Linked DNA regions of Lepisosteus oculatus. The protein of the gene in region 1 binds, or shares a complex with, the protein of each later gene. Links are inferred from orthologs where the notes say so. Each region holds a gene or a part of one and is shown in the gene's direction. Other genes may lie near its edges.

The links. Proteins that work in one complex are often made in the same cells at the same time.
Region 2: the proteins of ap3d1 (region 1) and arf1 are in contact, whole or in part, in a cryo-EM structure (PDB 9C5B), measured with the Homo sapiens proteins. The link is inferred for Lepisosteus oculatus from reciprocal best matches to the Homo sapiens genes AP3D1 and ARF1. Residues at the interface, in NP_003929.4 of Homo sapiens: Lys48, Asp50, Phe77, Ile80, Glu81, Ser84, Asp107, Met110, Leu111, Thr112, Thr113, Asn114, Gln115, Arg117, Lys118; in NP_001019397.1 of Homo sapiens: Tyr35, Ile46, Pro47, Thr48, Ile49, Gly50, Phe51, Asn52, Val53, Glu54, Trp66, Lys73, Ile74, Leu77, His80, Tyr81, Gln83, Asn84.
Region 3: the proteins of ap3d1 (region 1) and ap3s1 are in contact, whole or in part, in a cryo-EM structure (PDB 9C5C), measured with the Homo sapiens proteins. The link is inferred for Lepisosteus oculatus from reciprocal best matches to the Homo sapiens genes AP3D1 and AP3S1. Residues at the interface, in NP_003929.4 of Homo sapiens: Leu18, Gln19, Val22, Arg26, Cys60, Thr63, Tyr64, Gln66, Met67, Leu68, Gly69, Tyr70, Asp71, Ile72, Ser73, Lys87, Phe88, Thr89, Arg92, Ile93, Leu96, Gln100, His103, Tyr126, Leu132, Thr133, Ser136, Tyr161, Lys164, Lys165; in NP_001275.1 of Homo sapiens: Met1, Lys13, Pro14, Arg15, Leu16, Ser17, Lys18, Phe19, Pro22, Tyr23, Glu25, Asp26, Gln28, Gln29, Arg42, Asp43, Glu44, Asn45, Val46, Cys47, Asn48, Phe49, Ser80, Glu81, Ser82, Glu83, Leu84, Gly85, Leu87, Asp88.

Annotation. Positions count from the first base shown.
Region 1 is NC_090724.1:9,540,382-9,547,702, reverse strand, and holds the start of ap3d1 (AP-3 complex subunit delta-1), read left to right. Parts: upstream 1-4,214; 5' UTR 4,215-4,503; coding exon 4,504-4,599; intron 4,600-7,321. UniProt on the Homo sapiens protein: Part of the AP-3 complex, an adaptor-related complex which is not clathrin-associated. The complex is associated with the Golgi region as well as more peripheral structures.
Region 2 is NC_090701.1:29,758,695-29,766,116, reverse strand, and holds the start of arf1 (ADP-ribosylation factor 1), read left to right. Parts: upstream 1-4,359; 5' UTR 4,360-4,445; exon of another isoform or gene 4,446-4,480; intron 4,481-7,422. UniProt on the Homo sapiens protein: Small GTPase involved in protein trafficking between different compartments. Modulates vesicle budding and uncoating within the Golgi complex. In its GTP-bound form, triggers the recruitment of coatomer proteins to the Golgi membrane.
Region 3 is NC_090698.1:54,096,835-54,104,502, reverse strand, and holds the start of ap3s1 (AP-3 complex subunit sigma-1), read left to right. Parts: upstream 1-4,605; 5' UTR 4,606-4,773; coding exon 4,774-4,842; intron 4,843-7,668. UniProt on the Homo sapiens protein: Part of the AP-3 complex, an adaptor-related complex which is not clathrin-associated. The complex is associated with the Golgi region as well as more peripheral structures.

The DNA of each region.
Region 1 (7,321 bases):
GAGAGGCACTAATGCACTGTCTCTAAGACTCGGGTGTCTGCACGTTTGAACCTGCGAGCAGCGTACCTGTAAGGCTCCACTTGTCTGCAGTTCAACAGGGACAGCGGACCACTTGACCTGCCCTCTCACAGGCAGGGTCACGCCCCACTGGGGGCTTCTGGTTACACATCTGCAGATAGTGGCCTGGGTCCTTCCAAGAAGTTATGAAAGACAGACTTTCGTCTGTGGCTGATTTTAAGTGGGTTTTTACTTTCTTACCCGCTAAGATCTAAATCCTGAGGTGACCCTGACAGATTTGGGTGACCCCAAATCCGGGCGGGAGGTGTGTGTGGCTGGGTCCTGGGCGTGTCGTGTGCGTGTGTGTGTAGTTGTACAGGCTCAGGCTCCTCGTCTGGGTCAGGATCCAGTGTGTCTCTATGTAAAAATAAGTATCTGCTTTCATTGCTACTGTTGGATTGTGTTAAATATAAAGTTTAAAAATATTCCAGGGACCTTACAAAATTGAACATTCAGAAGACATGACTGAATAATTTTTGACCAATTTGTACATTTTTTGGAAGGAATGAAAACTGTTGTGAACAGTTGTCAGAATTGTTTTGAGGCGAGGTCACTGCAGGCAGTGCTCGTAAATATTGAAATTGTTATAATTACAATTATTCAAAAAATTAAAGCTGATTGTCTACCTCTGGGCAGCAGAGTGAGGGCAGACGCCTGTCTCAGCCTTACTGCCGGGCTCCAGGTCTGCCCTGGAGGAGAAGGCCGACTGAAAAGTTTCTATTTTACCAACTATATATTTTCTACATTTTCTTACGTTGCTGCTTTTAAAAGACCTGGGGCTTCAGAGCACAGTTGGCTCTTGATTTGTTGTAGGTTTATAAGGCACCAGTTAGGCTGAGGACGAAATAGGTGTGAAGAAACTGCACAGAAAAGCTTGAATGAAAGAGAGAGAACTGGTTTTCCAGAGGGAGAAATGCAGCACACGTTGCACAGGAGTGCAGTCCTGCGGATGTTGGGGTACAAGCTGGCTCTGTACCCGCTGTCTCGCCACACACCGGGGAGAAGAGGGGTGTGCGTGGGCCTGCGTTCACAGGCAGCCCCAGGTCTTCTGTATCGAGTAAGCTGAGTGGGGTGGAGGGGTTAGAGCAGACCTGAGATAAGTGCAGATTTTGGGGGATCTGTTGCCCCCTACAATTGCCTCTGTTTGCGGGTGTCCCAGAGTGCCCCCACTCCTCCAGCCCTGGTGCTCTAGGCTTTCCATTTTCACTGGGTCCAGATTGATGGACCGGTGTGCTGTGGGCCTGGAGGTGGAGCCCCCTGGTGGACTGGAGGTCCTGAGGTGGTAACAGGAGTTGGGGGTGGGGGGTTAAGTTACCTTGGTTGAGCCCATTGTAAATGATGACCTTTATTTCTGTTTTCTAGCAGGTGTGTGTAAACGAGATTTAAAGCCAGTCTGACTTCACTCAGGTGTTGTTGACACACAACCTTTTTTCTATTTTTTTTTTAACCAAACAATGTAAGCATGTTTGTTTTTTTTTTATAGTTTTCTTTTTATTTCTCTTTAATTTATTATAGTTGCTTTTAATATTGGCGTGGCTAAAAAATTTTAAGATGTGGAACATAATGGATTGTTTTGCTTCATTGTTGTTTAGAAGCCAGGTTTTTTTTTTGGTTAGTTTTTAAAATCCAATTCTGAAAAATAAAATTCTGAATGAATATTTTGTGTGTGTATCTTCAGTTTGAATTCAGCAGGGGACTGTTAGCTGCGGTTCTGGGCCTCTCAGTGCAGTTTTAAATGCCGCAGCGCAGTGCTCCTGCAAGCCTGTCAGACAGGCGCCTTCTACAGATCTGTGAAGAATTACAGCTGGTAAGGGGGAACTGCAGTCCCAGGTTCTCAGACCAGTTATTAAATCTCAGTAATTCATTCCTTATAGAAAAACTGACAGATTTGGACTTAATCAAGAACTTTGTGATGTATACAGTAACTCTTACTTTCATTGTGGTTTGAAATGCACTCGCCAATCTCTAACCCCCGAAATATAAAAATAGCAGCGCAGTTTAAGACGTGACATCTAGACTGCCTGCACCCCCTCTTTAATCTCCCCATTCCAGAGCCCCTTTGGCTCTTCACCCTGATTGTGTCCTTAACCTGCTCGGGTCCCAGCAGTGTCCCCACCACACTGCCCCTGGCCTGGCTGTGGGCAAGGAGAGGGCAGGAGCGCGACATCTCTGGACTGGCTGGAGCCCCCAGATCCCTCTCGGGCCTGGGCTCCCGGACTGGAAGGTGCACTGGGAATTCAATTCAAGCTTTATTGTCCCCTGGGGGTAATGTGTCTTATGGCACAGTCAAACACAACACAATGACAAATACACATCCTCAAAAGGGAAGAGAATACAGAAGTGTTACAGGAGAAAAGAAAAAAGAGACAAGGTAGTGACTGCACTATTGAAGAGTGTGATTGCAGTGGGGATGAAAGATTTCCTGAGTCTGGGTTTTACACCTGGGGGCACAGAGGCGTCTCCCAGATGGGAGAAGTGTGAATTCACAATGGAGGGGTTGAGACACACGCTCCCTGATGCTTCTGGCTTTCTTAGTCACCCTCTGTAAAGGATGCTAAAGTTGATTTGATTATTCCCGATTATTTTGACACTTATTTTCACTGATTTACCAGCATGTTACAGTTGTTGGTACTCATGTTGATAAAAACCAACAAGCGAAGCAGCATGTTAAGACACTTTCAATGAAGGATTTGTAGAAAAGTGTAAGGAGAGTTCTATCTACCTTATCTATGAATTGGCTCCATCACTCTGCTCTCCTCCCCACTGATAGCTGATGTGTGGGGAGCGTTCTGGCGCACTATGGCTGCTGTTGCATCATCCAGGTGGAGCTACACACGGGTGGTGGTGGAGGGGATCCCCATTACCTGTAAAGCGCTTTGAGTGGAGTGTCCAGAAAAGCGCTATGTAGTGTAAACAATATGGATGGCAGGAAGACATTTAAAGCACAGGGAATGGGACACAAAACGGAATCACAACCACACCAACAGAAACCCCGGCCGCTGTGTGGACACTCCAGTGACACCAGCCCCTGCTCCACAGGGTCTGTACCCGGACCACTGCTCCTCCTCTATAGCTGTAGCTCAAGCAGGGAGCTGTGTCGGCATGCGCAGGGTGCAGAGGAACGAGTAAAGGTTTATTGCCGGCACCCAGGTCTGTGATCTCGATTCTGGTTCTGTCAAACTGGCAGATACTAACACAGGAGAGTCTTCTCTGTATTCAAAATCTGCAAAGGTGCTGAGTCAGCCCAGGGCCCTTATAGAGACCCCCCAGTGGGATACAAACCAGAGCATGCCAGTGGAAACTATGTGAAAGTGCACTTAAAACTAAATAGTCGAGGCACTGCCTTACGCAAAGGGTTGTGGGGGTGTGGAACATCCATGTTGTTGAAGCTGGTGCCCTGGCTTCTTTCAAGAAACATCTGTGAAACACCTGCTGAGCAGCTGGAGGGACACGACAGGCCCAATGACCTTGTCTTGTTTGTGTCTGCATGAACCGAGGTTTAGTTCTGAGGTCATTAAGATTGTTGCATACATCTTTAATTGAAGCGTCTTATGAACTGTAGCTTATTGCATATTATTAAATTAATTATAACAGGATGGGGAAAACAGTAAACGCAGGCAGCAAGATTGAAACGTACACGGTTATCAGAAAGGCTTTTATTTAATGTCTGTGTCTGCTCCTTTCATCTGCTGGGATCTCGTGTTTCTCAATTTCTCTTCCGTTATTGTTTTCGTCTTTTAACTGTTTTTTTTTACTTTTCCCGTAAAGCACTCAAATAAGATATTTTTAAAGGTGCAATGTAATAAAGGTGATTATTATTAGCAGTAGTAGTATTGAGCTTGCGTGCCAAGGGCTCTCACAGGCATTAAGGAGCGCGAGGCACAGCCCCTCCACTGGGCCAGCCGGGAAGCGCTTCTCCGACAGAGCTGTAGCGGAAAATATATTGAGGAAATCGTTTAATTCATCCATGAATAATGTAAAACTTCATTTCTGGAAATATTGCGTGTCCTGACCTATTTGATGATGACGGTTATGTAGTACTGTTGTGTTGGAATCGGCCGCAAAATAACTGCCCCCCCACCGCCGGGAGACAGCGACAGGGACTGAGTTAGGACTCGGCTGCGCGCTGCTCCCACTAGCGGCCGGAGGCGGAACTGCGCCGAGGTGCCGGGCCCCGCAGCCCCCCCGCGGCACACACGCAGTCAGCCAGTCAGCTGACCCGCCGCCATTTTGTCAGCCATTTTCTCCCTGGGTCTGCAGCCAGACTCCCTGGGACCGTACAGCTGAGCCGTGGCTCCTTTCTCCCGGACCAGAGCTCAGATTCAGCCCGCTGGGGGAGCTTTTCTTTCGGCTGGGTGAACGAGCCAGCGGGCCTGTCTTGGTCCTCCTACCCCCTGACCTCGCCGCTCTTTCTCTGTCCGCAGAAAGAAACCCGGAGCTGCAGCTATGGCTCTGAAGATGGTGAAAGGGAGCATCGATAGGATGTTTGATAAAAACCTCCAGGACCTCGTACGCGGCATCAGGAATCACAAGGAGGATGAGGTAGGCCGGGCTGCGGGGTTCGGTACAGGTCCGAGTGCAGGACGCGTCTGCTTTGCGTTAACAGCTGCTGGCGTGTCGGGGCGTACCCCGCTCCGGGCCCGGTTCTGGACGGGCAGGGGCCGGGGTGAGCGACCGGCCCGGCGGGGTGGGGCTGCGCTGGTGGGAGAGGTGAGGCAGGGAGGTACGGCAGCACCTGGTTCGGCACTGACGGAGCTGTAGTCGTCATGGCAGTACGCGTTCCCACACTCAGCCTCCTGTGTCGGCCAGCCATGTATATTCAAGAATAAGAGCAATACCGGTCCTGGGAGTCTGTTGCAGGGCCTTTCCGGGACAGCCGTGCAGCTCCCCTCTGTTCCTCTACTGGGCGGTCCGGGGGTCTCTATGTACCTGTTCTTCAGCCTGGTCCCCATTCATTCACTGACCCTGATGCAGTGTGTCACTCTCTGACACTCTGTTCCTGTGTGTCACTCTCTGATCCTTTCCCTCTGTGATGCTGTCTGTCCCTGTGTGTCACGGACACTGATGTGTTGTGTCACTCTCTGACACTCCGTTCCTGTGTGTCACTCTCTGATCCTTTCCCTCTGTGATGCTGTCTGTCCCTGTGTGTCACTCTCTGACCCTGATGCTGTGACACTCTCTGTCCCTGTGTGTCACTCTCTGACCCTGATGCTGTGACACTCTCTGTCCCTGTGTGTCACTCTCTGACCCTGATGCTGTGACACCCTCTGTCCCTGTGTGTCACTGTCTGTGCCTGGTGCTGTGCCACTGTCAGTACTGTGTGTGTACCACTATAGATCTGGATTCTTGAATACCTTTGTTAAGCACTGTGAATCCTATGGAGGATGTACACCCCAGATGTTGGCAATCCACCCACACTTATGCTAAAATATCTGATCTGCCCCTCGCATACCCCAAACCCCTCTTCAGTCACCCCCAAACTCCAGCTCTGAACCCCCAGCGGCTGAGTGTGTTGGTCCTGCCAGTGTCTGGGCGCTGTGTTCTCTGGCTTCTTTCTTCACTGGAGTTCGTTCTCAGCCAGTGTCTTGAGTATAGCCGGGGTCTGGGTGTGTCTGGGTGCTCTTGGCAACGCTCTGCAGTGTAGTGGACTAGGATCATCTAACGGTTAACGTAACTGTTTAATCGATTAACGGGGTCAGTGATACTGTGAGGTTATGTGTTCTGACAGCTGTTCCATCACTGCCTGGCCTGTTCCCTCACAACATGGCCTGTTTGAGAGTGGAGACTCAGACTCGGGTTCCCGGACTGGCGAAAGATGTCACCAGGCTGTGGTGTGCTGAGATACAATCCTGGTTTGTTAGAGGACAAGCAGCTGAGTGCTGAGGGAAGCCGACAGGTCCCATATTGGTGCCCGTGCAGTTGTCCAGGGACTGCTGTTACTCTGGAGGAGGTGTCGGGCTTGTCCAGCTCCTCTAGCTGTCCTGTGCACCAGCCACACGAGGGGGGCAGTACAGGGCGGCTCGTGGGCCAGCGATCCGTGCAGGCTGGCTGTGCTCCCCAGGTGAGGAGGACCGCGCATCACCTGAGCTCTGGGCAGGGGGATCGCGTGTCTGTTACCGTGGAGACGCTGAAATATTTATGGCTGTTGGGTAGAACTGTAACTACGATCGGCACTCCTGTGGACAGGGGGAGGACAGGGAACTCGGTTAACTGAGCTTCTGGTCTGAAATTCCTTTTCTTTGTTCTTCTGTGGCATCATAGCGAAATATAATAATTATAATGATAATAATTGCTTACACTTATATAGCGCTTTTCTGGACACTCCACTCAAAGCGCTTTACAGGTAATTGGGATCGCTCCACACCCACCAATGTGCAGCCCCACCTGGATGATGCGCCAGAACGCTCCTCACACACCAGCTCTCAGTGGGGAGGAGATCAGAGTGATGAAGATAGTTCAGAGAACTGAGGCCATGATTAGTAAAGGTCTGGGGGAAATTTGGCCAGGACAACCCGGGTTACACCCCTACTCTTTTGGAGAAACACACTGGGATTTTTAAAGACCATAGAGAGTCAGGACCTTGGTTTTACTTCTCATTCGAAGGACAGTGCCTTTTTACAGTATAGTGCCCCACTATAGTGTCCCTGTCACTATACTGGGGCATTAAGACCCACATGGACTGCAGGGTGAGCGCCCCCTGCTGGTCACACTAACACCTCTTCCAGCAGCAGCCTTAGTTTTTCCCAGGAGGTCTCCCATTCAGGTACTGACCAGGCTCACACCTGCTTAGCTTCAGTGGGTTGCCAGTTGTGAGTTGAAGGGTGATATGGCTGCTGGCAGTATATATGTGCCCTGTCTGTGCAGTTTATATCATGCACTGTCCTGTAGTCTAAAACCACAGAGCAGTGTCCTGGTCAGACTGTCCTGTCCAGCAGTTATCACTCGCTCTCCCTTTCTCACACTCTTCTGTCTCCCTGTCAGTCTCATGACTGGAGACACATGACAGTATTAACAGCACACATCTCCCCTGTGACAGTGGCTAAAACAGAGGCTGCAGGCTCTGACGACTGATCAGCCCTTCTAATCCAAGTGTGACAATGCTAAAACCTGGAGTGGATCAGACTGCTGTGCCCTGGGTGTCTGGTAACACCACAATCTGGAGTGGATGAGACTGCTGTGCACTGAGGGTCTGCCTATACTGTAAAATGTGGTGTGAATAAGCCTGTTTTTTCCTTTGAAAGACAGAGCCAATTTTTAAACATCT
Region 2 (7,422 bases), on another chromosome or scaffold:
TTTCTTGGAATAGGAAAATTTCATCTTGATTTTGTTCTGTGCAACACTGGCATAGCAACACTTCCTTGACTAAAATATCAGAGAACACTGTTACTTTGGTGGAAAATTTAGACACTCCTTGTAATATATTCAACAACGTACATTCAACAGAAAATCTCAATCTCTAATTTTGTGAAAATGATTTGGACATCTAATCAGGGATTTTACATAAACCGAATTAGATAAGCACAAAATATTATCTTAAAGTATTTCATTTTTTAATAACCGTCATGAAAAGTTACTTTTAATGTATACCATTGGGGGGTACTGTACATTTTACTTGATTTCTGCATATAAGGTTAAAATGAAGTGTAAAAATATAAGTGTAAAAATAATTGCTAAATATATCTATAGGTATATTTAGGTAATTTAGGTATAATATAGGTAATTTAATCACCTTTTTTTTTCATTTACCACACCAAACCCTAAACAGTGTTTACAGCCATCCACTAACTGATCAATTTATATACTGTTTTGATTAACATTTGAATCAACACACCTTTTGTGCCTTTTCACCTTAAATATTTATTCCATGAACCACTCATGGTTGCAAACCTCTAAATTTCAGTTGTTTGGAAATTAACAAAAACATCCAATATACATTTTTAGGGCAATGCAATAGAGTAATAAACTACCACTTAACTTCGGAACTTTAACATCATTGTCATTAAAAACTTGAAGTTAAACTGAAAGATATGGAGAAATTGATTTAACAACTTGGGCACTTGGGGTAGATGAGAGATCGGAGAGGTACCCTATTGTTCTCAGCGTCTGACATTATATTAATTAAGTTGGAAATCCATCTGTTGTCCAAATTATTTCTCAAGCAGCAACTCAAGTTAAAAAACAGGTGTCCACAAATCCATAGCTTTACGGATCCCTCTTGAGTTGCCAACCTCTAAAAACGAACAATTATTTTTCAGTACGTTCTTCAATTTAGTATATTCAAAGTTAGTCACTCTTAACTTAAACTCAGCAGTGTAACAGAAGTTTGTTAAGTTAAGCAAAGTTTAACAGTTTAAGTTGTTAAGCAAAAGATCATCAAGGATCACTAAAGACTATAATTTATACATTTTCTTCATTTCAAGCCACTTTACAGTTTAATTCAATGTTCAAACACATCTGATGCCAAGAAGGAGTTATTTTCCCCATACATTTTATATTTATAACTTATGTTCACATACCTATATTTAATTAAACATATTAAAACCAATATTTAAAATTGTTCCGGGGTCAGTTAAAATCAAACCTTTGTCTGAAAATGTTTTGAAATGTAATGCGATACAGAATCTCTTGGCATTTAAATCTTATCATTCAGGAGTATAATTACTTAATCATAAAAATCCAAACACACACAATCACCTAAATAAATACCTTACCACCTTGTATTCTTCACAGATAAAAATGTCACTGCATAATATATGGCATTTAAAAAAAGTACATGAAACAAAAATTGATGCCATAAATGAAAACAATAAATCTATGAAAACATTTCAATGAAAGTATTTTTAATCAAGTGAATGCCCAACAGGGTTTTTGGCATGGCTTTTATGTTATAAAAAAAACAAAGTTATGCAATTTAAAATGAATTATCTCATAAAAATAAGGATCATTAGCTTACAGGATAATTAATGTCATTATGGAAAGAGTCATTAAAATCTGATGGATTCTAATGAACAGAAATATTTTAAAATAGGAGATACAAAAGCAATTGTAAATATATATTAAATAAAGACTGGATGGAAAGTATGCACAAAAATGAGCTGGATTCTTTTTCACAGTTGATGGTGATTATTCCCTTACAAAATTAAACAAAACATTCAAATGGAATCTTTCACTACACCTCAAATGAAAGGTCTGTTTTATTTTTTATTTATGATTCATTTTCAAAAGTTTTTGTTTTAGCCTATGAAAAATGTTATTTATAAAAAATGCTTATTTAAAATAAAATATACATACAAAAGCATTCACACCATACCTTTTACCACTATAGATTTCTTTTATCAAACACCCGTTATAGATATTAAAGCTGCATTGGTACAGAAAGCATGCAGAATTCACAGATGCAGAAATGCTCATTGCAGAAAGGAATAAAGAAAGCACTGGTGGCTAATGCAAGTCTCAGGGTGTGTATAGTTTTTCTGTGAGTGACAATGAAATGGGAATAAAAGTGCAAGTGAGCCTTTAGGGAATCCTATTTGAAATGCAAGTTGATATAGGAGCTGCCAGAAACACTTTACTTTAAATGTTTAGCACACCTGCGTTTCAGAGTAGACATCTTTATAGCTGAGAATAAATTTGGGAGAGAAAATTACTCTAGTTGGGAAGCTTGGTGTGCCAGTATTTTATAATCCGATTTGCTTTAGTTTATTGGTTGAAAAAGGAAACAATCCAATATTAGAACACAAGGAGTCCATTCTGCCCATCTATATCAAGTCCAGATCTAGAGAAATTCGTAGTTAAATGATCGGCCAGTTGTTTCTTGAAAGAAGCCAGAGTATGGTCTTTAACAACATGGAGCTTCTTCCATAATCCCATCAGCCTTTGCCAGAAAGAGTCAGGTTAACGCCCATTCATTTAGACTGGGAGTAAAATACCTGATGACAGTAGAACACACCCTGGAGAAATGTAAGATGGAGTATGTTTTTAGTCAGACTGCAATCCCACTTTTACAAGGCAAAGCGTTTACCATACGCCCTGAGAAAAGTCCCCGATGCAGTAATGCTAAAAGCAGAGGTATCATTGCAGAACTGCAGATGTTATAAAATCACAGTGGGTTGCTGTATGGAAGCACACGCTTACCCACTTCCTAAAGTGAAGGAGCTGTTTGCCAAAGTAGTGGGTTTTCTCACAGACACTAACAACTGAAAGATGTTTCCAAGTGTCTGGGTGTAAGTACGTCAGGGTTTATACAATTGTAACTGTGCAATATAGCAATCCAATTGTTCCAGCCATTTTTCAGTCTGTAATATACTAGTTTCTGAAGCTACTGGAGCATGTGACTTGTTTCTTACACCTCATTGATTATATTTCCCTGAACCATGCCAGAGTGGTGCTTAGGCTGCAGGGTGATGAAAGTGTTTCTGCGTGTCCCTGCAAAAACTGTTCAACAACGGTTAACAAAATGATGTGATAGATGGTAAAAACTATCATCTTGAAATCATAGACCAATGAGATTTTAAGTTAAGTTTTGTCTATTCCCAATGGTTTCCAATTTAAATTTACATCGGAAATGTACAGAAGAAGACAGAAAAGAAATAGAAAGCCAGATGTAGGAGATTTCTATGGTCTGTCAGGTGACAAAGGATAGCAAGTTGAAAGGCATGGTTTCTTCACCTTAATCGTTTTTTCTATTTTTGCAATGTTTCAAAGAATAAGTACTGTAATTGTAGGTCAGCAGCATCATGTTGTCTGGCAAGAAACACATGTCTTCCTACTGATGAGATAGTATGTGATAGCTGACTATAAACCTTCAAACAGATCTTCTGAGTTATACTAATCAAAAACGGAACTCAATTAACTGGAATTGACTGAACAATGATTTGAACTACATGTAGAAAAGCTTCTGACACTATAGAATAAATAAAACTATATTCAAAAAATAAAAATAAAAAATAAAACTAGTTTGCCCCCTTTAAATTGTTGCAGATGTTTTGCGAGTCAAGGAGGGGGGGAGTCATTGTATTTGTATTTGGAATAGTATTTACAATACACAAACACATATAACAATGTATACTCAAGAAAAAGAATAGAACGTTTTTGGTCTTGCAAGAATTCAGTAGTTCATATATTATTGAATTAGAACTATAACAGTCATTCGGTTATTCTGGTAGCATTCGGGACATCGAAGAATTACTTAATAATAATAATTAATCATAATTGCTTACACTTATATAGCGCTTTTCTGGACACTCCACTCAAAGCACTTTACAGGTAATGGGGACGCCCCTCCACCACCAATGTGCAGCATCCACCTGGATGATGCGACGGCAGCCATAGTGCGCCAGAACGCTCACCACACATCAGCTATCATTATTTGATATTATTTGACTTGTGTTCCATTAATAAAAAATGAATTAATAGAACATACACGTTTCATAATGTACTATTAGCCTAGAAAACATTTACCAGTCAAAGCAATTTACCAAATGTGATCTTTGCTAAACTGACAGACACGATGCTAAACAAACTGGCATATCAGTCTTGGTCTGGACACCCTCCAACTCGTGCAGTAAGTCCTCCACGCCGCCGCGTTTTCCCGGTTTCCGAGAGCTGCTCTCGAGGGGGTGGTGTATTTGCTAAATTTTTCCTCTCCCCCCAAGAAGATCCGGTGCACTGACGTGGCCACAGGGAGCCGCCATCTTGTGGGAACGCCTTGAAGAGGAAGCGAGCGGTGCTGTGTGGTGGTAAGGTGGATGGTGAATTTACTTAATTTTTAATGGTATGACATGAAAAATCCCATATATTACATACGTTTGAGAGCACAAGCCAGCTGAAACTCGGGAGAAGTACGTGGGCGGGCAGTCGCAAGGTTTCAAATTTGACAGTAACACCGGGCCGGTTTTCAGGACGGACGCGATAAGGAGAAAACGGCCGATTGGCCTTTTCTTCTCAAGGTGTTTTACGGCTGTCTTGCTGTGATAATGCTCACAGTAACATGGTACGGAACAACAAAAATGCGTTTTTCCCAGGAAACAATCCCGGCTGGATTCAACTGTAAAACTGAAATCGGCCGAAGTTATTGCAACTGTTTTCCTTGTGAGACGATGTCCATGGTCATTAGGCCCGAGTCTCCTCGGCTGCCTCCTCTGTGTTTTCAGGAAAATGTAGTGTTTGTGACTGTAATAATGATCTTCAAATTGGATGCATGTAAAGTGCATTGGAGGGGGATTTAGCAGTTTAGTAATGGGTTTGGGGAAGCCGCGTAATTTGCAGCCGTTGTGTTAAGACGGTCCTGTTCCTTTGTGGGACTGCGGAACGTCAGCACGCGGAACCGGAACCTTGGTGAGCCCTTGGAGGCAGCGCGAGCGCTGGGCAGTGCAGGAGGCTAGCAAGCCCGACTCCTGGCCCAGCATCGCAAAACCATCGTTTCGTTCTCTACAGGCTACAGTCGTGGTTGTTCCTATCGCATTGCCTTCCCCTGGCTAAAATAAGCTTCAGGCAAGTCAAGATCTCAGCATAGAAACCTGGGCGCGGTTTTGAAATAACGTATTTTGCTTATCACTGATCATTTGCCAGTACTATTAAGTTACCGCCAGCGTTCTTCCATTTCCATTGAAGTCTTTTTTTTATTTTTCAGAGTCCCCCCCCCCACACACACACACAGAGTGGAACATTCCGTGATCACTTTCAAAGGCCTAGCAATTTGAGAGTGTGAACAATATGCTAGCTGTTTTATTTCCTTAATAGGATGACAATAGCAAATAAGCGTGTGAGAGGTTTAAAATGAAGTCTTTCGGCTTATCTAGCCTGTACATATGTTAGGAGTTCATTGGAGGATCTCATCCAGCTGTTTCTTAAAAGAAGCCAAGGCAGCAGCTGTAACAACATAGCTCGCTACCTTGTCCCACCACTATTTGTGTGAAGACGTGCCTCCTTTCCTTAGTGCACTTTCCCTAAGACATCTTCAGACCTGACACCACGTTAATTTCTTCCATGCCCTAACTTGTTGAGGTGTTTTTTCCTTGTGCAGCTATGTGGAGCTGTGTTGAAACATCTGAAATGACCTCACTGTTAGGTGGGTGGTTATTTCAGCTAACTGATTTTTACCATCATTGGGGAATGCAAATGCCCTCACCCACAGCTGTACCATCTTCACATGAAAGTATAGTCCTTAACATGGAGAGATGTTTAGCTGGAAATAATTGAATTAACATTTCAAGTTGTTTAGCCTACTTCATACAGTCCATGGGGTATATTCAACTTTTTTGCTATAAACCTTTTTTTGACGGTGTATTTTTGGGTAGCTTGTCAATGAATTAATTTAATAGCCTCCATTTTTTAAGCTTTTGTAGGATGCACAATCTTCTGATTGCTTGTAAAATGCTGTCAACTTGTCAGTTCAGAAAAATATATTGGGAAGAGGTGCAAGACCAGGACACCCCACAAGCTTCCGACATCTTGTTTTATCACTTGAATTCCATGCTATAAAAAAAATCTGACATTTTGGTCTACATCTACCTAAACGTAGCACTGGGCTGTATAGCCGGCCATGAAGCATTCTTCATAACAAACCAGTTATAACTCGCAGACATCTGTGTTGCATAACTGAAAAAGCAGAATTTCTGTGGGGTAACATCACTAAACAAGTTATCTAGTTTTTAGTTCTACTTATCTGATATTTATTTCTTAAACAAGACATAGGGGTATTTTACTCTTGTGCTAGAGCTGGAGTTGGCAATAAAAGGCCCCTTTTGGAATGTGAATTAAGGAAATGTAACAACTACAAGAAGACCTGTGAAAGAGGGGTGATTGAATTAATCCTGTGATCAGTGAGTTGTTCAGAATCCAACACTGTCTAGTATGTATGGATGTGCAGAATTTATTCATGCAGTAATAAGCACATCATTTGCCATCAACAGTTCCTGATAGTATATGTTATTTTTTTGTTTTTACAAGGTGGCAAAAAACCTAAAAGTGTGTTTTTCAGATGCTTTCATCCATACTGTGGAAATACTGGTGGTCTTGAAAAAGTAAACTCTTGATGGAACACAATACTTAATGCAGAAATATTTTTCCCTTTGTAGCTTGCATTCATTATCATTATCATTAATTAGTCAGATATAGTATGCCATAAGAAAATAACAGTCATGGTCTCAGTATACATACGTGTACAATGCTGCTTTTGTATACTATTACTTTTGATAAGTATACTAGTATAAATAGTATACGGGGCAGAGCGGTGGCTCTGTGGCTAAGGATCTGCGCCTGTGACTGGAAGGTTGCCGGTTCAAATCCCGTGGCCGGCAGAGGAATCCTACTCCGTTGGGCCCCTGAGCAAGGCCCTTAACCCTAACTGCTCCAGGGGCGCTCTGACCCCAAGCTTCTCTCCCTGTGTCTGTGTGTCTGTGTCTCCATGGAGAAAAGCTGGGGTATGCGAAAAGACAAATTCCTAATGCAAGAAATTGTATAGGGCTAATAAAGAAACATTATTATACATTACATTATTATAAATGTTTCATTATTAGGAATGCTTTGTTTTTGCCATTTTATTCCATAATTGTCTCTGAAGTTTCCTTAGATAGATAGATAAGCATTCTTGGTTTTAGGTCCAAGTGAAAACTCTTTAGACACATTTCCCTCAGTACAATTGTAACCAGGCTGGATTATGCTACTGTTGCTTCTGCTTACAGTGGAATTCTTGTGGAACATGGTTAGAACAAC
Region 3 (7,668 bases), on another chromosome or scaffold:
GGTGGTGGAGGGGAGTCCCCATTACCTGTAAAGTGCTTTGAGTGGAGTGTCCAGAAAAGCGCTACATAATTTTAAGGATTATTTATTGTTATATTTATAATAGCTTCTGTAGGTGCTCTACTTTGAATGTTGAGTATTGCGTCTCTCTTTGTTGCAGCTCCACATATAACTAGGTGGGTGTTCCTTACCTGCCATTGTTCCCCAAAAGACTTCACCAGACCCAAGGCAACTGTGTGAATAGAAATGTCACTGCAGCCATCAGCTCTCCAGGGGAACTTGTGCAAAGTTTTTATCCTGATCAGGTTGGATAAAGGAAGGGTCATCATGTCAGCAAACTGGGGAAGAAATGTCAATATCCAGCTGACTGGGCCAAGAAATGACCTGACTCATTTAATTGTGTAAGGGATGGAATACGAAAGTTTTTAAAGTCACCTGTTTTAGAGATCTATGCAACATGCAAATAATTACTATGTAAAACAATTCAATACTTCTTAAAATAACTTTTCCCCGATTTCTTGTTAAAAAACAATCCTTCACACAAGTATCCTGTACCTGTAATGGATTACTTTTTAAAAGTAAATTTCCAGAACACTGATCCTAACATTTACTATTTCTTTTACACATTGTCTACAAGATAAAATTGCGTTTTAACATAAACACTGAAATAGTTTTTCCATCTTATATTTTTAGTATGCTTTTGCTACTTGCTTATAACAAACTGTACTTACTCATATGAATTTCAGAGCAAGTCATTTGGTGGCAAAGGGAACCATTATTGAAGTGTGGTAAGGAAAGGTTAAAATATATCAGTTTATCATATTTATTGTTTACACTGGGAAGTACCAATCTTGAGACATTAGGCCTTCCTAGTTCTGATTCTCTTTACTTCAGCAGCTGGTGGTTTTTCTACTTGAGCTCTTAAGTCTTTAATTGAATCCCCAAATTTAAGCACTAATGTACTTTTTTTTCTGGAAAATGGCCTGATGTGGCTGTGTGCATGTTTGCATTTCTGTCTGCCCTGCGATGGACTGGCATCCTGTCCAAGATGCTTCCCACCTTGCGCCCATGGCTTGCCGGGTAGGCTCTGTCTCCCCTGCGACCGTGTTATCTGTAGATAAAACTGTTAAAAAGTGGGTGGATGTACTAGTTAATGCCTTTGAAATTATTTTCAGTTCTGGAATGGCCAGTAAAGTTTATTTCACATATATTGTAAAACATAGTGAGCAAATTGAAGGCATTTTTAGCAATGAAATAAAGCTCTAAGCCATCAATTTTTAGTAATTTCAGTTAAGGATGGAACTTAAAAATCAGCTGACACAGGGTAATGAAAGCCTGAATTGAAAATCGCTGTTCTAAATTGTACTCGGTTAAAATTACATATAATCTGCGGTCTTTGGCTCGAGTGTTTTCCCATTCCCCGCATTTTCATTTCGAAGACAAACAGTTTTAGGAGGTGCTTAAATATGCATTTTAAAATTGTTTTTGAAATAGGAAAATGTGACAGGGGGACATGTAGTTTATCAACAACCTCCTCCTCTTTTTTACACGCAATTTCATCGCCATGATTTCATGAATATACACAATAGAGATATACTAAATTCGTTTTATTACAAATGCCCCGAATTTCACATCTTAATGCTCTGGGAAAGTACGATTTAAAAATATATACCTCCAACAAATGAATTTGAAGTGATGTTTATTAGCTTTTAACGGGCTCGTCCCATTATCAATGTCATCTTGTTTCGCATTGTCCACTATTATTTCCCTTTTAATAAACCATTTTAAAATCTATTAGCCTCATCTAGTGGAGAAAAGAAGAAAATCGGTTCTCGTCAGCAGCTTTTCAAACCTGCGTAGATTTTGAAAGGGTGATCGAAATTAAGACAAGGATGAGGTCGCCATGTTGTTTGACGCACAACCCCGATTGTTTTAAATTAAACTAATTTAATGATTACCTGCCCAAATATACTCACTTAAACGGAATTTTCTCAAATACCCTGACTTCGAACACAACCACTTTAAAACTGGAGGAAAAATCCTTACTGTCATTATATTCTTCTACTTTGCACGCTAAGTATTTCTGTGCTAAACATTTTCTGAAGAGAAAAATCCCTAAATTGCTGGAATTACTGGCTAAACGGCCCTAGCACAGCCAGAATATCTGTGACAGGGTGTGATGAAATTATGGTTGATATTGAAACTGCCCCAAGTCCCACAAAAGTAATTATAGTTATTAAAAAATAACTAAAATATATTGAAATTTCTTTTTTAAAAATGCATTCCGATATTGTACTTGTATAGAAAAAAGTCTTATTGCACAAAGAGGTTTAAAACATGACTTTAAAACATGGAAGTTTGATCCTTTTCTGGGTGTTTGATTCTCTTTACGTCATATTCAGAAAAACAATCCCTGAGTGTAATTTTCTATTACAAAACTGGTTTTGCTTTACAGTTATAATACATAAATAGTGCCAAAAAGAGAGTGTGAACACATGACAACATTTTAGCAAGTAAACACAGCAAGTAAATTCTCTATGATGGAGTAAACTTAGTTAGCTTGTATCTCAAGCAATAACAACACCATGTACTGACCAGGCTCACACCTGCTTAGCTTCAATGGGTTGCCAGTTGTGAGTTGCAGGTTGATATGGCCACTAGCAGTCAATAGTAAGAAAATGGATGGATGGAGTATGTTATCATTTTGTGGTGTTATCAGTCCTTGTTTGAGTTGGTTATGGAAATTCCATGTAATCAATCCATATCCATGCTGCGCAATCACATTTTCTTCCTTTACATTGACGATCAGTCAATAGGAACACCCCTTATTCTTCTGATTAAACAAGTTTAGCTCAATGATACTTTTCACTAGTCATGAGGATGTGGACCTCTTCCAGTAAGACTGAAGTGTGACTCAAGTGGCCCTACTGATCGAGCTACTATTTTCAGTGCTGTTTTGAAACGTACTGTAGTTATGATTTAACACTCCAGGGAAGAAGCAAGACTCTTTAAAGGAACTGAACATTACAGAGTGTACTTTTATACCTAATGTATTGCAATCATAAGAAATGATATAAGATCAGGCCCTTTTATAATCTTAAATATTTATAAAATATCCTAAATATTTATAACAATGCTTTTGATTACACTAGATAAAAATTGTGTACATTGCAAGCAATTAAGTTATGCTTTCCAGTTGTTTAATTTTTAACAGCTTGTATGTCAACATATTTTGGATGTCCTTTTTCTAAAGTGTTTTATCATTTTATTAAATCAAATACCTGTAAAATAGAGTTGAATAGCCAGAGAACAAGTACTGGATATTTTTTTCATTTTGCATTAGTGAATCTTCCTTTTCCTAAAGTGCACAGGTGAAACTGTGTAGAACTTTTTGCAACAGTATTTCACAAAAATAGGATACCTGTTTTTTTCATGGGATTTTGCCCCCAGACATCTTACAAGTATGGTCCCCTAAAACACAATGTTTATCCTATGTCCCTATTATAAATTTGTTCAGATTAGAAACAGGCTAATACTTTGTGGAACATGTAACATGAACATGTGGATATTTAATTCTTTCATATATGACTTTTTCTTATAATTCTTGATTCTAATTTACAGTATTTCAAAACAACTTATAACTATTATTTTTATACAGTTATTATTATTTTTATTTGATATTAAATATTACACTGATATTACAGTCTGCAAATACACCCTTATCTCTATTTTAAAATACTCTTCCCAGACCATTTCACTTTATGTATATAATAGCATGCCAGTATAATAATTAAGTCCATTTCAAACATAATTTTCATTTTATTTCCAATGGGATTGAAGTTCAACATAACATCTATTTCTTTAAAAATAATATCGAAATTAGCCTTTATTTTAATATTTTAATAAGTCTGCAAATCAATCCAGAAGGTTTTTACAATAGGACATAAGCAAAACAAATGCTGAAGGGTTTCAGGGCTACTTTCACAAGAAAACAGCTATCATCTATATTAATTTTAATCAGAGTATAACATACTGGCATGGCCTTTATCATTATTGCCTCATAGCATTTTATGTTCTCTTCCAGACTGGTGCACCATCTGTACGGTATTTGCTTGTTCTACTCATATTCATGTGGGTTTTCTACAGGTGTTCTGATATCTTCCCACCTCCTAGAAACACTGGTTAGGTTTGACATTTCAGTATTGGCTGTGGGATTAGAGAAATAGAACCAAGTAAGATTGATGGGAAGAACCGCCTTCCCTAATTGGTGATATTTCTGACGTTGTTCCTTCTAAACGTTTCAATCCATAAACGTCTATTTTTTTAAACTGTTGAAAACTTAAAAAAAATAACAAGGTCAAAACAAATTGATGTACAGTATGTAACATTTTTAACTGAACGTGTTCAGATTTAAAATAGTCTAAAATTGATCTGTTTTTTTAATCAAGTAACTTTTTTGGGATTTCTTTTCTCCTTTGTTTGTGTTATTTGATGTTCAATAAACGTTGGAAAAAAATAAACGTCTAATTCATCGCTCGTCTGTGTCGATCAGATTTATGCCCAGCCACACAGTTTGACCTTCTTCGGCTTCTGTAGCGGCGATGAGGAATGAATGCTTTGACGTGGAATGTTTCCGCTTTGTGATTCGGGGGAGGATTTGCAGCTGATGTTCAGGTGGAATTGGGTCTTTAATAAAACGGAATCTGAGTAGTTGTTATCTCCTAGTTCTCAGACTGACCGTCAGAACGCAGCTTCTGATACGTTTTTGGTGAAACCATGATCAAAGCCATCCTAATATTTAACAACCATGGCAAACCCCGGCTTTCCAAATTTTACGAACACTATGTGAGTATAGCTGAATGTGTGTACTGTCATCAATGTGTGACTGGAGCTGAAGTTTTCAATGAAGTCCCTGACGGGAATGTTTTACATAGAAATATAAACTTATGATCACGCTGAAAACGGAATGTTTTTCATTTTTTGTGTCAGTACTGTACGTGTTTTTTTCTGTCCGCTGTTACAAACTACATTAGTATCTGGCAAATCAAGTAAACCACTTTGCTTAGGAGTTGTTTTTTTTATTTTATTGATACAGTCCTTTTTCTATTTCACTCTAGCTCAATACTGCACTGGTATATTTTCCAAAAAATGTTCAATTTAAGTGCTGGCGAGTTAATTTGAATATGCTATCAGCATGAAAGCCATCAGATTCAAGACAATCTGGAGCTGTCAGCCTCTGAGCACCACTAGAATAATACTGTTTTGCTCCTGGAGAGCAATAATCCAGTTAGTTTTATAGATCACATGTACTTTATTGATTAATTAAGCAACTGATCTGTTAAAAGACTTCAGACCCCTGAGGGATGCAGGGAACATGATTTGATTCCAAATAAAGGCTAAATTTATTTAGCAAATTATCTGTTAAATTGAAATAGTCTCAACTATTGGCTTTAAATATACACATAAACTTGGCTTCTTTATACATATAAAATATATATAGGCTTCTAAATAGAATGCTGACCAATATAAACTGCTGTATTGAAGCTGTTTTGGAGAGCTTTGCAGACTTCTTTGGATGGGAATACTGAATTGTGCAATCTTCATTTCTATAGATGCCTTAGTAATTTCTTCACAAAAAAAGTGGTTTTGTAAATCTAGTAATGGATTTGTACATGGTTATTTCACTACACATAGCTAAATTACTAGATAAATATGAAGCTTTTTAATTGTGCATGCCAAGTTGTACTTGATCCAGTCAAATAGTGTGTTAAGGGACAATGCATTGTCCTCTGTAAAGGCAGCAGTGAAGCATTCATGTGGTTTGAAGTCAGTCTCTTCTACAGCTGTCCCAGCGCAAGTCTCTAATGACATTTCTCTTTCTTTCATAATGCAGTCTTGAAACTTTCTGATGTGCTTTGCAATCTCTGCAGTAAGACAGGTGGTTGTAATTTAACATTGTAGTGGCTAGTACAGTAAATGGAACAGTTGATGCATTGTAAGCAGATGATTTTGGCAAGTTTTCAGTTACATTAGATGTACAGTATAGCATATCTCACCTATAATCCTAAAGGTTTGAAAATATATACAGTCTGTCTGTGTCAATTTATGCTATTGTAGTCATCTTTGAAAACAATCTATTTTATAATACATTATCCATTTATAATGCAATAATACATTCAAATTCATTTTAGAAGTAGGATTTGTTTGAACTTTGAGGAATATATCCTTGATAGTCAAACCGATTAAAAGAGTTAAAGTAACCAAGATTTTGTTTTGGCTGCTTTAGCCTCTGTGATGTGTCATTTACTCATGCAAGCATGTTGAGGTTTTTAAACAAGGTATGCTTTAAGATTTAGTTTACCAAAAGTATTTCCCCAGTGAAGTAACTATTTTAAGTCTTTTCAGCTCAATGTCAGAGGCACAAAAAGCTGTGAATACAAAGGTTTTAATTTTAACTATCTGTTCTTTTTTTGCTGTAATTTATTGATAAACATTAAAATAACAAAATAACATATACTGTACACGTGTTGTCCATTTAGGTATTTTGTAAACAAAACGAATGGTTACTTAGTAAATTCTTGACTCTAGTGTCGGAGTTCCTTGTTGCACAGTTCAGTACAGAAATGCAAACATTTTTTTTCTTCAGTTATTAGATACACTTAACATTTTTTATAATGTTTAACATGAATAAATAGGTATTTGTTTTAGGGAGTAGATCTGCAGATTACATCAGCTGACATTCAGTGTTAATCTTGTCAGCATCACCAAAATCATGTGGTGCTTTTTTTCTCTTCCATGTGATGCAGGCAGCGTGAAACGTATGCACACCCATCTTACGTTAATAACGTAATGAGATACTACATTCACAGGAAATTAGTGTTCAGAAGTGCCGAAGGATTATCCTGTAGAGTTATTTTAAATGTAAGCCACTGAGAAGAAGATAAACTGATAATAAAAAGTATTTTAACATGGGACAAAATTTGTGCCCAGTTTCCTACTATATGAATGAAGCCCAAAAATAAAAAAATGATGTAATACGTCCGACATCCTGTACATTTTTTATGTTAGCTCATGAAAAACCCGGACTGTGGGTATTGAAAATTTACAGAAAGTACTTACAGATGCATCTTAGTTTTTTTGGACCAGACTAGCAAATCAGGGACAATGTTCTCCTCTTTTCCTGTGCCATTTCAGTGTACTACTTCAGCTGTAATTTATGCTTATGCAATAATGCTTGGGGATACTTTATGTTGATGGTGTGTTGCCAGACCTTACTGTCCTACACAAAATATAACTGTTGGATAGTTGACTATTACTGAATCCTGAGTCAAACTATTTAAAAATGGTGAAGGAGGGAGGCTAAGTGTTACGTGTATGTGAAGTAAATCATTTGAGTTTAAAACCCGTAGCCTGTTTTTGTGGTTTAAAATTAATTCATATGTTATGTAAGAGGTGTGGTTTATTGTGTAAGAACTGTAGTTTGTATGGTCGCTGCTTTTAAATGATGTTCCTTCATTAGATGTGTTAATTTGTGTGGTAATCTTAGGAAAGGAAAGGGAGAATGCAGGAATCAGGTGATTTAAATTATAGGAATTCGGACACCGTGACAGAGGTGACTTCTCGATAGTAGATGAGTGGCAGATTGTTACAGAATGAACAAAAAGAAAGCTG